Linked DNA regions of Struthio camelus. The protein of the gene in region 1 binds, or shares a complex with, the protein of each later gene. Links are inferred from orthologs where the notes say so. Each region holds a gene or a part of one and is shown on either strand. Other genes may lie near its edges.

What was found.
Region 2: COA1 (region 1) and SURF1 share a complex: the UniProt entries of both Homo sapiens proteins name them as parts of the MITRAC (mitochondrial translation regulation assembly intermediate of cytochrome c oxidase complex) complex. The link is inferred for Struthio camelus from reciprocal best matches to the Homo sapiens genes COA1 and SURF1.

Annotation. Positions count from the first base shown.
Region 1 is NC_090943.1:60,050,074-60,057,512, reverse strand, and holds the start of COA1 (cytochrome c oxidase assembly factor 1 homolog), read left to right. Parts: upstream 1-4,435; 5' UTR 4,436-4,506; intron 4,507-5,098; exon of another isoform or gene 5,099-5,290; intron 5,291-7,055; exon of another isoform or gene 7,056-7,298; intron 7,299-7,439. UniProt on the Homo sapiens protein: Component of the MITRAC (mitochondrial translation regulation assembly intermediate of cytochrome c oxidase complex) complex, that regulates cytochrome c oxidase assembly.
Region 2 is NC_090961.1:5,150,225-5,157,195, reverse strand, and holds the start of SURF1 (surfeit locus protein 1), read right to left. Parts: upstream 3,019-6,971; 5' UTR 2,894-3,018; coding exon 2,855-2,893; intron 2,468-2,854; coding exon 2,386-2,467; intron 2,262-2,385; coding exon 2,134-2,261; intron 1,749-2,133; coding exon 1,666-1,748; intron 797-1,665; coding exon 605-796; intron 275-604; coding exon 202-274; intron 1-201. Other genes in the region: SURF2 (surfeit locus protein 2), read left to right, coding at 3,062-3,241, 3,600-3,754, 3,982-4,085, 4,542-4,736, 5,561-5,736, 6,572-6,655. UniProt on the Homo sapiens protein: Component of the MITRAC (mitochondrial translation regulation assembly intermediate of cytochrome c oxidase complex) complex, that regulates cytochrome c oxidase assembly.

The DNA of each region.
Region 1 (7,439 bases):
CTCAGCAGCTCCAGCATATCAATGTGCTGCTCTCCCTGCTGCTACTAGGGCTGCTATCAGTGCAGCAACACCCCCTTGGCCAGGAATCCAATAAGGACACTACAGGGGCGGGCTATAGCCAGGAGCAGCCATAGCAGCAGAAAGGCTGCTATAGGCACTGAGCCTGGGAGATATCACCTCACCTAGGAAACCCGAAGAAAGCCACACCTGGCTAGCAGGCGGCATCACCTCCCTGGTGCCCGGGGCAAGGACCTGATTAACCCTCCGCAGTGGGGTTTCTCCCAGCCAGGCGTTATCCAGAGGAGCCCAGCTGTGCACTGGGCTGTGGAGGCTAGTACGTCAGCCTCCTATGCGCCCACCCGGCTGCATCTGTAGGCTTTGCTACAGGCTGAGTCCTTGCTTGGGGGAGCAGGAGTTTCAGCAGCGCCAAGCCTGGGGTAGCCTCCCCTGCGGGAAAGCAAACACGCCAATCTGTGTCTGGCTTTGCCCTGGCAGCCTACGTACAGGAAGCAGCTGTAGGGACAGCGCAGTCCAGGTTATGCAAGCTCTTACTCAAGATTACTTCTCCCCATTTCTACAGAAATTGCTTCCTGGCCCACAACACCACACTGTGCTTAAGCCCTAGCTTTTCCTTAGAGAGCCACTTTTTACCAGATCTTACTCCTAGCCTCTTCACTAGTTTCCGCACGTGCGTGTCTTATCTTCATACAGCAGTGCTTTCAGCTGGTTCATTCAGGGCTGGGAAGATAAAAGCCTGGGAGGGTGCAGCTATTTTCCCTGTAGCTTGTAGTTCCTGCAATGAACAGCGCGTGCAGCCGGGATAGTCTGAATTCCACAGACCAGTCTACACTGCGCCGATGCTGGGCATTTGCAGGCTAGTATAGCACCTCAAACTGTGTCACATTAGGACTACAGGTACAAAGGATCAAATTCTGTAAACATTCATCTCAGATGTCATGTAGAAATAACTGGAGAAATCAGCAGCAGTATTTTTTTGCACCCGAGTGTGTTCAATTCATTGTATTTCTGGTAAATTTTGGGACTTGCTATGCGTAAGTAGTAATGGCATAAATAGTAATCTGCCTTCTTCCTATAAAGCTTAAAAAAAAAATCAGCACAGCTCTAGATTCCTTAAACTCTTTATTCTGAAATTCTGTAGGAAGGGATCAAAAGGATATGTGATACATCTTTCTTTTCATCTTTTCCCATTCATTTCTTCTGATTAGTTAATTTCCTTACCAGCAAGTACTCAGGAACTCAGTCTCCTGGGTACGTTTGCTTTTCTGGAGTCATGTTTTCTGAGCCAGATACGGAGTTCTAAGTCAGGCAAAACTTCCGTGGTCCAACATGACTTAATCTGAACACAGCTTTTATACTGACACTACTACCCTGGATGTTTCAAATATGTTACAGGATGTTTCAAAATTCTCTCCTCCCCCTCTCAAACTCTTAATAGCACCATAGGCTAAAGCACAGATACACAGAACAACAGCTCTAATTACAGTAGTTGCACAACTGCAGTAACAAGGAGCTTCAGAGTATGACTAAGGAACTACATCCTAGACTAACAAGCAGGAAGCTTAAAGTGCAGCAAAGAAAGAATGAAGGCCTGTAACAGGTATGCACGGTAATAGCTAAAGCAGGACTCGCTGACCAGGAGATATAGCATTTAAAGATATATAACATGATTTCAACATGTGGGGCTGCTAGTGACTAGCACATGACTATATACTTAGCATAAAGGAATGAATCAATTAGCACATGATAGGAAATCATAACGAATGGCATAATGTCTGAAATAATGCATATGGGATGGATTAGAAGCAGCTGTAGCTCCGAGTCTTTGGATTCAGTAATAGTGCTAGCATTTGTACAGCGATATATGTTCAACAGGATCCTGGACCTGTTTGATCTCATAATTAACCTCAGAAAAAAGAAAAAAACAAAACAAAACGAAAACATAAACCCCCCTACTTTCCAGATGGATCAGCTCCCAAAACAAGGGTGGGAGTGGCAACACACAGCTAAAGCAGAGCACAGTTACCTCTTTCCAACACAAGCGCACTGCAGATTTAGGTTAGGTAAAACTGATCAGGTAACTATATTTTTTGGCACCACTACTTTCAGTCTGATCCCCAGTATACAGCTTCGAGCTCGCTCTTTGCCCTAGGTTTGTTTATTTACTCGGGTGCCTAAGTCATAAATCAAACACTTAATTGCACTGTAGACCTAGGGAAGTTCAAAGGGGTTGAGGGGCTGCTCCTTCAAAGAGGTGGAATGAGAAATGAGCGTTGGGGCAGGCATTTGTGGCCAAGGAGGGGGCAGCCGGCATGGCAGGAGAAGCTGGGATCCCCAGCGCGGCAGCAGTGGTGAGGGGGAAACACAGACCTTGGAAGCAGCAGCACACAGCTCCGTGGTATATAGATGCCTTAAAGAGTCTGTTCCTCTTTCCAGATGGAAATTAATATAGAGTATCTATAAATAATGAGTAGCTTTCAATACTAATAAAACTTCACCAAAATTTCATGGTTGCTGTATAGCTTTCATCATTGCTAAATAACAAGGACAAGGCCTGTAGGGGTGGTTAGGCTTACTTAGGCATAGCTGGGAACTATAGACAAGCTTTTGGCACAAAATCCTTCTTCAGGTGTGAAACATATAAAACAGATTTTCAAGTGAAACACAAATTGAAAACCGTTTTTCAGAGAGACTAGTTAGATGTGTAAGAGTTGGACGACCTCTGAAGGTAAACGTGGCTGGTCCCCACAGCGAAAGGATGTTAGTAGTGAGGGAGGAGGAGGGAAAGAGGTTAAAAAAACCCTATGTGACTTTGTATACAAAACAGCCTTTTAACAGGGCTTATCTGCATGAGCATCGGAGGAGTTCCCATTAGAATTAGCTGCCTCCAGTTCCTTCCAGTTGTGCTGTATTTCTCCTTGTCATTTTTTGCCATATCTTCACATCTTTTTGTCTCGTTTTACTGGTTGTCTTTTCATGTCTTGTTTCTCCCCACTCTCACCTTCCCCAGTCCCACAAGCATTACAAGTCCTAGCAAGTAGCTGATGTATTAATTAACTTCAACTATAACCTAGCAGTCTCTCACTTTTTGATTTCGCTAGGAGCAACAAAGCAATGCAAAATAACGTAATCACTCTGATGACAGGACTTCATTGGCAACCACTGGAAGCTCTACAAGGGAAAAAACAGTTATATTTGGAAGAACTCCATAAGCAGACAGTATTCCCACTAAAACACAATGGCAGAAACAGAAGTTACAATCACAAGCCAAAAGTGTAAATAAGAAGTTGGAAACTACTTGGATAAGAAAACAAACTGAGAAACGTTTGGTTCAACTTCTCTCCGCCAGGAAGCTCATACAATAAATAGCCAAGCATGTATGCTGTAGTAAGAAATAGCAGCAGAGGACACTCTCAAATTGGGACAGTCGTCATTTTAATTTCAGATGAATCAAGGGTTCTGTGAGCCTGGTACTCAGGACCTTGTAATCTGGTAACATTCACATACACTTTACTGAACGCTCAAGCCTAAACGCTGATCTCAGTTACACCGCTAGAAAGCCTACTAAATACGCTCCAAGAGTGAGTGACACCAGGTTATGCGGTACAACGATGGGGGATTATTTAGAGTGAAAAGATAAGCAGAAGAGAGCGGTAATTAAATTAAACACGCCTATCTCTTTGTGGAATCAGTTCCCAGGCAGGATCTAAAATTCAAACCCAAGTCTCTCTCGACTGCTGAAAAGATGCTTACCGAAACTGTTTATTTTACTCTAACGCGTACGGGTGGCTTTTTAAAATATTCCGTTTTGGGGCTTGCCCTGGAAAAATAATAAAGTAGCACAAAAAAAGAATGACTTCCAGAACAAGGTAGGAAGTTTGTGTTTTGGATTATTGTTTCTGAACAGGCAGGATTTTGGATACACAGCAGCCTGCACTTTGCCGCGGAAGTTGGCCGAAAGGCGCAGCTGTCTCTACACAGGCTTGCAAGACTCTCCGCTGCTAACTCTCCTTGCCAGCAAGTATTATACCCTGCTGCCCTTGAATAGCACAAGGCAACTGAGGAAAAACAAAGCAAACTTACAGTGTTTTAACCAGATAGTCACAGGCAACAGAAAAACCCTTTTCCGCAGATCACCACCCCCCCCCCCGAGAAAGCAAGGAGCCCACTCAAGCCGCAGCCCCCACTCATTTCATCACCAGGGCCAAGGCCACCCTCCTCCGGCCGCAGCGAACGGGCGAGGCACGGACCGAGGAAACCCCCAGCCCAGCCCCCGAGGAGCAGGACCCTAGGAAAAATATCCCCTTAGTTTAAACACAGAAGGAGCCAGGGCCGGCGGGGCGGTGGCCGCCGCGGCAGCCACCTTCCCGCCGGCCGGCCCTCCCCTTCCCTCCGCGCCGCCCTGCAGCGCCCCCTGGCGGCGTCGGAGCCCGCGGCAATGGCGGCTCCCACGGCCCACGCGTGAGCCCTTCTGTCGACCGCCGCGCCGTGAGTGGGGGGGGGCAGCGGGGGCCGGGGCGCGGTGAGGGCGGTTACGGCCGTTAGGGCGGGGCCCCAGCCCCCTCCCTTGGCGCGCTCGGCGCTGCACAAAATGGCGGCCGCGGGGCCAGCTCTGGAGGGGAGCTGTGGGGAGCGGGGGTGGAGGGGCAGCGAGGGGGCTGAGACGGGGGGGGGGGGGGAGTTTACATTCAAGGCGATCGCACACCTGAAAAGCAGTGTTGAATGCAAGGAACCGCGGGCGTGTTTAAAAAAGGCAATAGCGGTGCAGATGCAAGTGAGATAACCTAGGCCCGGAACAGCTGTCCAGCCAGGTGTCCCAGTTCCTGCGAAGCGCGCAGGCTTAGCCGAGTAAGAGGATGAGGCAGCGCAGTAATTACCACGCACATCATCTCACAGCGCGATTACTAGAACAGTTTTAATGGTAATTTTATATTTAAATACATCTTAACTGTTTTTAGAAACGGTGCACGAGGCAGATGCATCTCGTAGGCTTTAAGCAAAAGCCAATAAGCCGAAAACGGTTGAGTAATTATAAAGCTCTGAGGACTGGCTTCCTCTAAGGCTGGTTTCGGCTACTTACATAAATATAAGTATCATTTCCAGAGGCCGCGCTGCCCAGGGCCTGTGCTGGCGAGGATGAGCTGGAGAAGGCGCAGGATGCAGTCGCTTGGGCCCCAGTACGCAGAGGGCGACGGGGGTGCGGGGACACGTGAATTTAAAGCAAGTCAGCCGTGGTGACTCTTGTCTACCTACCGAGAAACCTCGGGCCGGATTTACTTTGTCACTCACATACAGCTTGAGAAGTGATTGATGCTCCTTAAGCATGTATTTAATATTCATTCTGATGCCACAAAGGGAAAAAATTGCTATTTCTCCCCCCCCCCCCTTTTAAAAATCCAAGCCCTCCTGTTAAGATCACTCTTGTCACTAAACCAGACTAGTTTCCCCCATCCCTTTTTACTGTACATTTTATCATTTTAAAACGTTTAATATTTTACACAGCAGCATCTCTGAGGTTTGGTGTACTTCATTCATTTCTTCCTAGTGAACCAGATGGGAGACCTGATCTGATTTGAAACTAACTCAGCAAACTCCCCCTGCCTCCCGGCCTGCCTGGTTTTAACCCAGACCAATTACTTTCTGCTGATTTACATGAACTCTTAAAGCACCATAAGCGAGTGGGTAGTGCAGAGTGGGCAGGATTGCCTGATTTTGATAAAGTATTGAACCATACACGTGAGCCTCCCCCCTCAGGCCAGCTTCACAGGTTGGAGTAATAGCAGGCTGTCACAGCAAGATGGCCCTGTTCCACTGCCCCAGCCACTGCACGGTTTGTATCAAAAACCAAGCGGATCCCTAAATCTGAAAGTTGATTTTCCGTTGTATTTGCAGCTTGCAAAACCCTGCAGCTATGCAGTCCAGCAGGAGGGAGGGAGAAGGGGCGAGAGCACCTCTTTCAGCAGAAACAGCCATGCTTAGGTGCTGCATTAAACTGACTCTTAGCCTTTTGGTTTGAGTCTATGCTTTGACTCACAAATTTGAGTGGTAAACCAAGATTTCATTTCATGCAGTAGCCCATGTTGAAGTTTTTCATACTTGAATGGAGGTTCACGTAGAAAAGACAGATGTGTGCATGTTGATGCAGAGATGACAAAATACTGCATTTTTGGCAGCCTGCTGCATCAAGATTTTTTTTTCTTAGTTAACACTTGAAAAGAATTGCTGGTCCTCAACTTCTTAACTTTTCTTTGCATTTTATGTTATATGTTCACTGGCTGATTTTGGATATTTCAACATCTTAACAATTGACACTTTGCTAGTTTAAGATAACATAATAATTTATTACATTTATTTCCCCTAAGACAGAAGGGATTCTCACCAAGAGGGGAATGAAAAGGTTAGTCAAATGTAATAAAGTGATTTTTTATTGTTAGATGAGCTTTAATTTGGATTCCTGTAAATTGAATGAAAAAAAAACATGGAGAATGGAGATAAGGCGCTTTTGTGATTAGAAGAAAAATAAAACCGAAACCCTTCATTACTATCTTGCAGCTTTTTCTAAGTAGCACTTTGCTGTTGCAGTTCTGGAATTAATGAAGTGTGCATGGATTATTGCAGTACATATTTCACTTCAAAGCTGGTTATTGCCTAGAAGTTGGAGGCTCTGCATGGCTGTTGAAACATACTTATCTTGGCCACTTTTCTAATACAAGTTTTGGGGTTTTGCCTCAATGCCGGAGTAGCAAAAAGAGTAAAATAAATCCTTACATTTGCAGATCTGACCCCAGCATAACAGGAGGAAGAACTGATGCTGGGGGTTTTCACTAGACTTAGCATATTATAGCTGAGTATTGTCACCCACCCAAAGGGACAGGCATACGCATGTCTTCTCCAATAACATGGCACTTGACCTTTAGTTTATACCTGCCACAGGCTACTCAACACAGATGAATGTGACTTACCTACTAAACGCCAGAGCTGCATTCAAGCATTGCTATTTCACAACAGTTTCTCTTATTTGACCCAGAATAACTTACCTAAGGAAGTCTGCAGGACAGACTTTAGAGCGGCTCTGAGGATTATGTGATGGCAAACCTAGTTGTGGTTGTTCTGAGAATTATAACTGATCTCGAGATACAGATTTAAAGGCCACGTCAGTTCTAGCGTAGTTCTGTGCAGAGAGACCTCACCACAGGTCTGACTGTTGACTGTACTGAAGAAGCCACAGAAGCCAAAGTCAGCAGCAGATGTGCATGAACACTTGATCTTGAAATGTTTGCCTATTCAATGGAAAAGAAAAAACCTAGTTAGATTTTTCTTTTTGTCCATAGAGCTGTCCACGACTAGGTTGAGAACTTAGAGTATGATTTTGCATAGCTGAGGAGGTTGCAGAAAAAGGCCGTATTGTTTCTCGGTTTTTC
Region 2 (6,971 bases), on another chromosome or scaffold:
GGTCCTTGTTTGTAAAAACACTTTATGTACTCAATAAAAAGGCGGGAGGAAAAGTACTTTCTTTGAGAAGTGCAATGACTCCGTATTTAAGTAACCTCCCATGATGCTGAACGCGGCTACTGCCTTTTTTTGCCAATAGTGTCTCTTTTGGTATTCACTGAGTAGAAAGTAATAGGGAAAGCTTCCCTCTGTTCCTCTTACCTGTCCCTTTAGCCTGGTCTCTGGTTTCAATTTCTTTTTGGGCACAAATCCTCGGTTGACTAAAATCGTGACGCTAGAGTTACATAAAGAGGACAAATACAGCTCATTAGAGAAAGGAAATTGTTCATTATTCCTGCCGCTGCCTAGAGCTTGGTAGCGAAAAAAAGAAGCAACCCATATGTTTGGTGCCACTTTTTTGTCATTTGAGTGCACGTTATAAGGGATTTCAGATACAACTTGGAAGCAAGCCTCTGCGACTTAACAGGTTGTGAGAGACAGAGACCTTTTAAAGGACAGTGAGTGCTTCACATAAACCCAGCCACTAAGATTCAGCTCGGATAAAGCATGACTTTAATTAACTACACATACACATGTTCTCAGGCTTGTGCATGAACACACTTACCCTAGGTCTGTGCAGTAGAAAGGAGTAACTACATTTGCTCCGTTTTCTGGGTTGGATGTCAGCCGTCCGGCTTCTCTCGCTTCTCGTTCAGGGTCCACAAGTGACCGTGGCAAAATATAGAGCTCCTTGGAGTGGTCAAAATGCCCTCGGACCTTTACAGGCCTGTACTCTAATTCTTTCAGTTCCATAGGGCTGCATGGAACAAGGTGAAAACAAAATCACGGCTGTGGTAGACAGATCAAACCAGGGAATTTTATTATGGGATTCTCCTTCTCCCCATGATTTTCTCTAGGTCCAGCTGGCAAACAGAAAGAGAAGACAAGTACCTCCTGGTATAAGCAGCTTGGCTTAAGATTTTGTTACTATCATAGTAAGTCAAATCACTAAGATCATGAGCATCTAGAGCACAGCTCTTTTCCATGATATCTGTAACTGAATACCACTTCAGTGATGCACACGATGCACACAGCGAGACAGCAGGTGACACACTGCGTGTACATCATGCCAACAGGGAGCATTTCTTTCCCATCCCAGACTGTGAAATAGAACTACTGAACTGTGTTGACAGTTGTACCATATGGCTAAAGTGACCTTAAAACTCTCTCTTGTATCTGACCCAACTGCTCTGCACTTGGGGCAGAGCTTGCTATCGTTCTAAGACTCCCTTGCTGCAGGAATACTGTACAGCAACAACCAATCTTTCTTCAGCGGTGCTCAGTAACCCCCTCCTCTGGGACATCTTGGGCAACAACTCCCAAACCCTCTTTCTCCAGGCTGAATTACATACCACAGTCTCCAGAACAGAGATTTGACCCCTTTAGATGCCTTTAGAGTATCCCACAGGGAGGTGTTTGCAATATGCATTTGAAACAAGAGAACGAACACGACTGTCTATCCTGTGAATTTGCTTGCGCATTCTGATTCCCATTGCATTTCTTCATTTGCATGCAGTTTAGTTTAACATAGACTACATGTTGTAGAGCGTAGGGACCATAACTAGTACCCCCAGCACACTGGCAGTACTTGGCAGACAGCAAACTGCAACATCTCAGCTTCCTTACTCTAATGTCAGAGGGATGGGCTCTGCTGCAATTCTTGACGCCAACTGCGCAATCAAATCCAATTTCCACTTTCGTCGCTGAACCTGGAAATACACAGAGTAATTCCCACTGGTAGAACAGAGCAGTGTAATAACCTGGCAAGGCTGAAAACAGAGTCTGCTTCTTTTATCGGTATTTTCTCTTCAGATGTGGCCTAAAGCAACATAATTGCAGATTCAAAAATGGAGGCTACTAACTTCATTTGGGGAGAGAAGAAATACTGACATAAAAGTAAAATAAATGAATCTCTCATTCAAAGACTTACATGAAACTCACAAACGGTAACTAGGAAAACTATATATGAAAAAGTATCTTCCAATCTTTACCCTGGCTGTGGTGTGAACTAGCTCACATTAAACAGCCGAGGATGGAACCACCAGACAGCCCTTAAGCTCTTCTCTCATGGAAGAACGAAATATTTATTTGTACCTGCCATGTGCCAAGGCAGAAGGTGGTCAGAGGGACAAGGAGAAGGCCCCACTTGAGTAAGACACCCTCTTCAGATGCGCCAGCGGCTGCTGTAGAGCTTCGCGGTCTGCACGGCCTCAAGCAAAGGTCTGGAGAAAACCAGAACGAGGAAGCGGCTTCGTATTGCAGAAAAGGTGCCAAAGTCCCGCAGAAAACGTCACGGCTGGAGTAAGGCAGAAACGGGGCGGACGCCTCGGCTAAACCTTTCCTTACCTTTAGTGCGCTGCAGCAGACCAGAACGCGCTTCAGTGAGAGGACATCCGAAACATGCTCGTCTGACCAAGCCACAGGACACCTACGGGAAACAAAAACGACCCTTTGCAGTGACTCCGCTCGGCGACGTTTGCCCCGAGACGGTGCCAGCTGCCTCCAGGGTGGCAGGTTTCGTTTCCTGCTGTATTTAAGCCTCCTCTGGGCAACCACCGGCCAAGCACCACAGTTTAGGCTGTAACTCCGAGGAAATGAAACTCCACCCCGCTTACGCCGCTCACTAGACCGCGACAAACGCTCTCTGCGCTACCAAACCGTGGTTTGTTTTTTTTTTTCCCAAAAGGATCGGTTTTTAACCAATCCACCTGGTGGCGTCCCGCAGGGGGACACCAGGCCCGGACCGGGGCCGCCTCCCCCGAGGGCACCGAGGGGGGCACCGAGGGGGGCGCCGGGCCGCCGCCCCCCGCCGCACCTGGGCCCGGGGCTCCCGCAGCAGCCGCCAGGTCGCCATGGCAACGCCGCCGCCGGCCCCTCGCCGCCCGCCCGCCTCCGGCCTAGACCGCCCGCCGGTCGTGCCGGGTAAGCTCCTCTCTAGCCGCCTCTCTCTATGCCACCGGCTGCTTTCCGGCGTGGCCCGGACCGGAAGTATAGGCGAGCTCCTGTCTAGCAGAGCGTCTCTATGATGCGGGCGCCGGGCGGCGAGGCCGAGGCGCGGGGCCGCGCGGAGATGCCCGGCGGCGATGGCGGCGGCGGCGGCCGCCCCTGCCCCTCCCCGGCCGCGGCCATGGCCGAGGTGCCCCAGGAGGTCCGGCTCTTCCTGCGGCAGCACCCGCTCCTCGGCCTGGCGGAGCCGGGCAAGGTGAGGCCTGCGCTGCGGGGCTGAGGGGCCGCCTCCTGCGAGGGGGCCCTGAGGGGGCAGCGGGACTGCGGCCGCCTCCGTGAGGAGCCCGGGGGGCGGAGGGGACCGGGACTGGAGCCGGCTCCCGTGAGGGGGGAGCGGGGCCGCCTGCCCTGAGAGCCACGGGGGGACCGGGGAAGGCACCCCAGCACCTGGGCTCTGGGCTCGGCCCCAGGTTGCTGCCTGGCCCGGAGGTTTTTCTCCCCGCTGTGGGACTGAGGCCATCAGGGAGGAGGGCCCTGGTACGAGCCCTCCCCTCTGCAGCCCGGCCGTCATCCCTTGTGCTTTCCTCACTTTTATCCTGCTTGTCTTCCTTCAGGTGAGATGCAGGCTGACCGGCCACGAGATGCCGTGTAGGATGTCGGAGCTGCAGGCTTATACTAATGGCAAGAAGTATCAGAGGCTGACAAAGACGGCCAGAGAGTTTGACTATGGCAAGTTTGAGCCACATATAGTGCCGAGCACAAAGAATCTGTACGTATTCTTCCTCTTGCATGTTGTGCTTCGCACCTCATTCAGCCTCACAAATAGAGTGGGTGGCTTGCGCGAAGTTCTTGAGCGTTTATGGTTTTTGATAGGTGAGGAAAGTCTTTATAAAGTATTTGTTAGCTTTGACCATAGTGCTTAGGAGTGAAAGATTATGAATTAATGGTAGACTTAAACTCTGTTGCTGGCTCTTTCTTTCTTTCTGTGTCTGTAAGACATCAGCTGTTTTGCAAGCTCACTCTCAGGCATATCAACAAGTTTCCAGAGCATGTGCTGCGTCATGTCCAAGGGAAACGCTATCAGAAGGCCCTAAAAAGATGTAAGTCACTTTTCTGAAGATACAGTCATCCAACCTTTTTTTTTCTTAAGCTTTTGTGATTCCAGTTACTCCATATGCGGTGAGCGGGTAAGTTTTCTGTAGACTGACAGAAGCACTGTTGCTGTATGTGCCGCTTAGGCGGGAAGGAAAACCCCAGGCATAGGGAGCAAAAGGCCTCTTTAGCAAACACCTTGGAATGTCTTTACTTGAAAGGAGCGGCTCTAAAGCTTCCCCAGAGAGGATGGTTCATGTGTTCAGCACGGTTTCTGTATTGACATCTGTTCTGTCTTTCATGGTCCCATAGTATCATCCTGGATTACAGGAACGCGTATCGGAGTTAGAGCTTAACGTACTTCTGAGTTGTATGTAATATAGACTGTAGCTGGAAATGAAAGGATGAGGAATCAAGTGATTGGGTATCCTTGCTCACCGCTGGTTGATATCTCACATTACTAGATGAGGAGTGCCAGAAGGAGGGAGTGGAGTATGTCCCTGCCTGCTTGCGACAGAAGAAGCAGCGGAGGCGGCATCCCGATGACCAAACGAATGGGAGCAGACAGCCTTACAGAAAAGAAGAATTCTGGGAGCCAAAGTCCAGTGATGAGGATGGAGAGGAGACAGATGATGACAGTATGAGTGATCTGTACCCACGTGAGTAAGAACACTGGTATCATCTATATCGTAAACAGAGGTTGTTAGTTATTTTTCTTCCAGCCTCTTTGTGTTGCTCCCTTCTGGGAAGCTAGGTCAGTGGGATTTCTATTACCAGTGCAAGAGTAGGACTTAGTGATAGAAAGATAGTTGAATATAGCTGGAAAGATGGAGCCATTGGGAAGGAGCTGCGAGCTTTACTTTGCTGTACTGGAAGAAAGAGCTCAGGTATGATTTATTCATGCACTGCCAGGAGGGAGAGCTTTCAATGTGCAGGCATGCTGGAGGCTTGTGACTTTTATCCAGTTCTGAGTTCCTGGGTTTGGGAAAAGCTTGCCACCACCAAATATGAAATAGCAGTTATCACTGAGTAACTAATCAGACTCGGATCACAAAATGTGAGAGGAGGGTTACAAGATCCCCTGGGATGTGCTTCTTCAGGTAACTCTACTCCTGATTTCTCCGCAAGTCTTGCAGTCTAATAGGAGTTAGTAAGCCAGTGCCAGTTCCACTGACCTGCATCTAAAATACACTGCCTTCCTGTAGGAGCATTGGGTTTTTTTTTTTTTTTGTTTTTTTAAGACCACAGAACTGTCTGTGTTGAGCAGACAGAGCACCAGGCACATTTCTAATAAACCACCATAGTGTGTTTATTCCCCAAGTATTCCAGTATGCCACATGTATGACAGAGGCTAATGCTCAGAGACTGGAATGTGGTACTTCAGCTTGGCAGGTCACCTTTAAGATGCCCACAAAGTAAAAAGTTAGGTGGTAGGTTCCTGCTGCAGAGGAAACTGCTCCTCAGCTGAGTCTCTGTGTTTTAGCTGAACTCTTCCCAGAAAAAAGCTCAGCAGCTCCACAAAATGCAGAGGGCAGCGATGACTTTGCAACAGACAATGAGGAAGACACGGCCAAGCTGACTGGGGAGAATGGTGATGTGAATGGAGAGGACGGCAGAAGAATGAATGTTAGCAGAGCAGCTGGCAACAAAAGGGGAAAGGTAAGAGTTGTATTGCCATGTGCAACAGCAGGGGAGCACGGAACAGGCTTCCTATCCCATAGGTGTTTGTCTCATCTATTACTGTGTGAGAAGAACTGGCAGAAGGTGTAAAGCTATTTGGGAGAGTAGACTTTCCCCAGGCGTCAGCCACTAACTTGCATCCTGAGGTGTGATTTACTACTGGTAAACGTTTCTCCTGTCTGCTGTGACTAAGGATGTTATTGCCCTTATAGTTATAAAAATTGTTTGCATCCTGCTGCACACTGTCTTCACATCATGTGCATCCTGTGGGTCTTGTATACTTTTCCCCTGGCCCTGCACTAGTTAAGCCCTTTTGATTGCAAGTTACAGGATTCAATTTGGTCCTTCTAGCCCTTTTTTCTCCGCCTCTTTTGAGGAACTGGTAAGCTCTTGCCTTCGGATGTGCTTACAGGAGGATGCATCCTGATCCTTCTCAGTTTGGGAAGCAACTGGATTAGATGCTACATACATAAATTATGCACAAACCTTTAACTGTAAAGGGCAGCCCTGAGGAAGGGGCTGGGATTCTTTTTTAACTGCATCAAACCAGCTGAAGTTTAGATTCATTTCTATGGGGAGGCTGTCAGCATCTGTGTCTAGTGAATCTATCGTGCCCCTGTCAGAAAAGGGGATGCTAGCTTGCATCCCTTCTGTAGGGAAACATCCTGCCTGGCCCCCTGTCCTCTGTGACCAGGACTGGGCTTGTTCTGTATCAAGTGAGACAGGAGACTACTACTAAATTCTTTAAGTCATCTCAGGCAGGGCTGGATTTACTTTTTGGAAAAAAGCTGATTCGAATATTCTCTCTTCGCAGAAACAGTCAGGTCCTTTGAAGAAGAAATTCAAGAGCTGTCATCGGAAACTCAAACATTTCAAGAAAGCAACCAACGGCAAATAAATTTTGTGAGAAATATTGTATGGCCTGAAGCCTGTTGTTGAACAGTTCTAGAGGGTGTACCAGATTGTCTGAAGTGCTCGCCCGCAGATGTTTTTGCTCTTTCCAGTTAACTGGGGGAAGGAAGTAGTATGAGGTGGAATTCATCAAGTTAATTTTAATAGCTTCTTGGGCTCTCTCCTACCACCACAGAAATGATTACTACTGCAGTTTTGTGCCTTGGGGAAAGTATAGGAAGTCAAGTTCTTGGAGGTCTTTAGGAAAAATGTTTTCCAGTGAGTGGGAGAGAAAGCACACAGGAGTACTAACCAGCAATTCC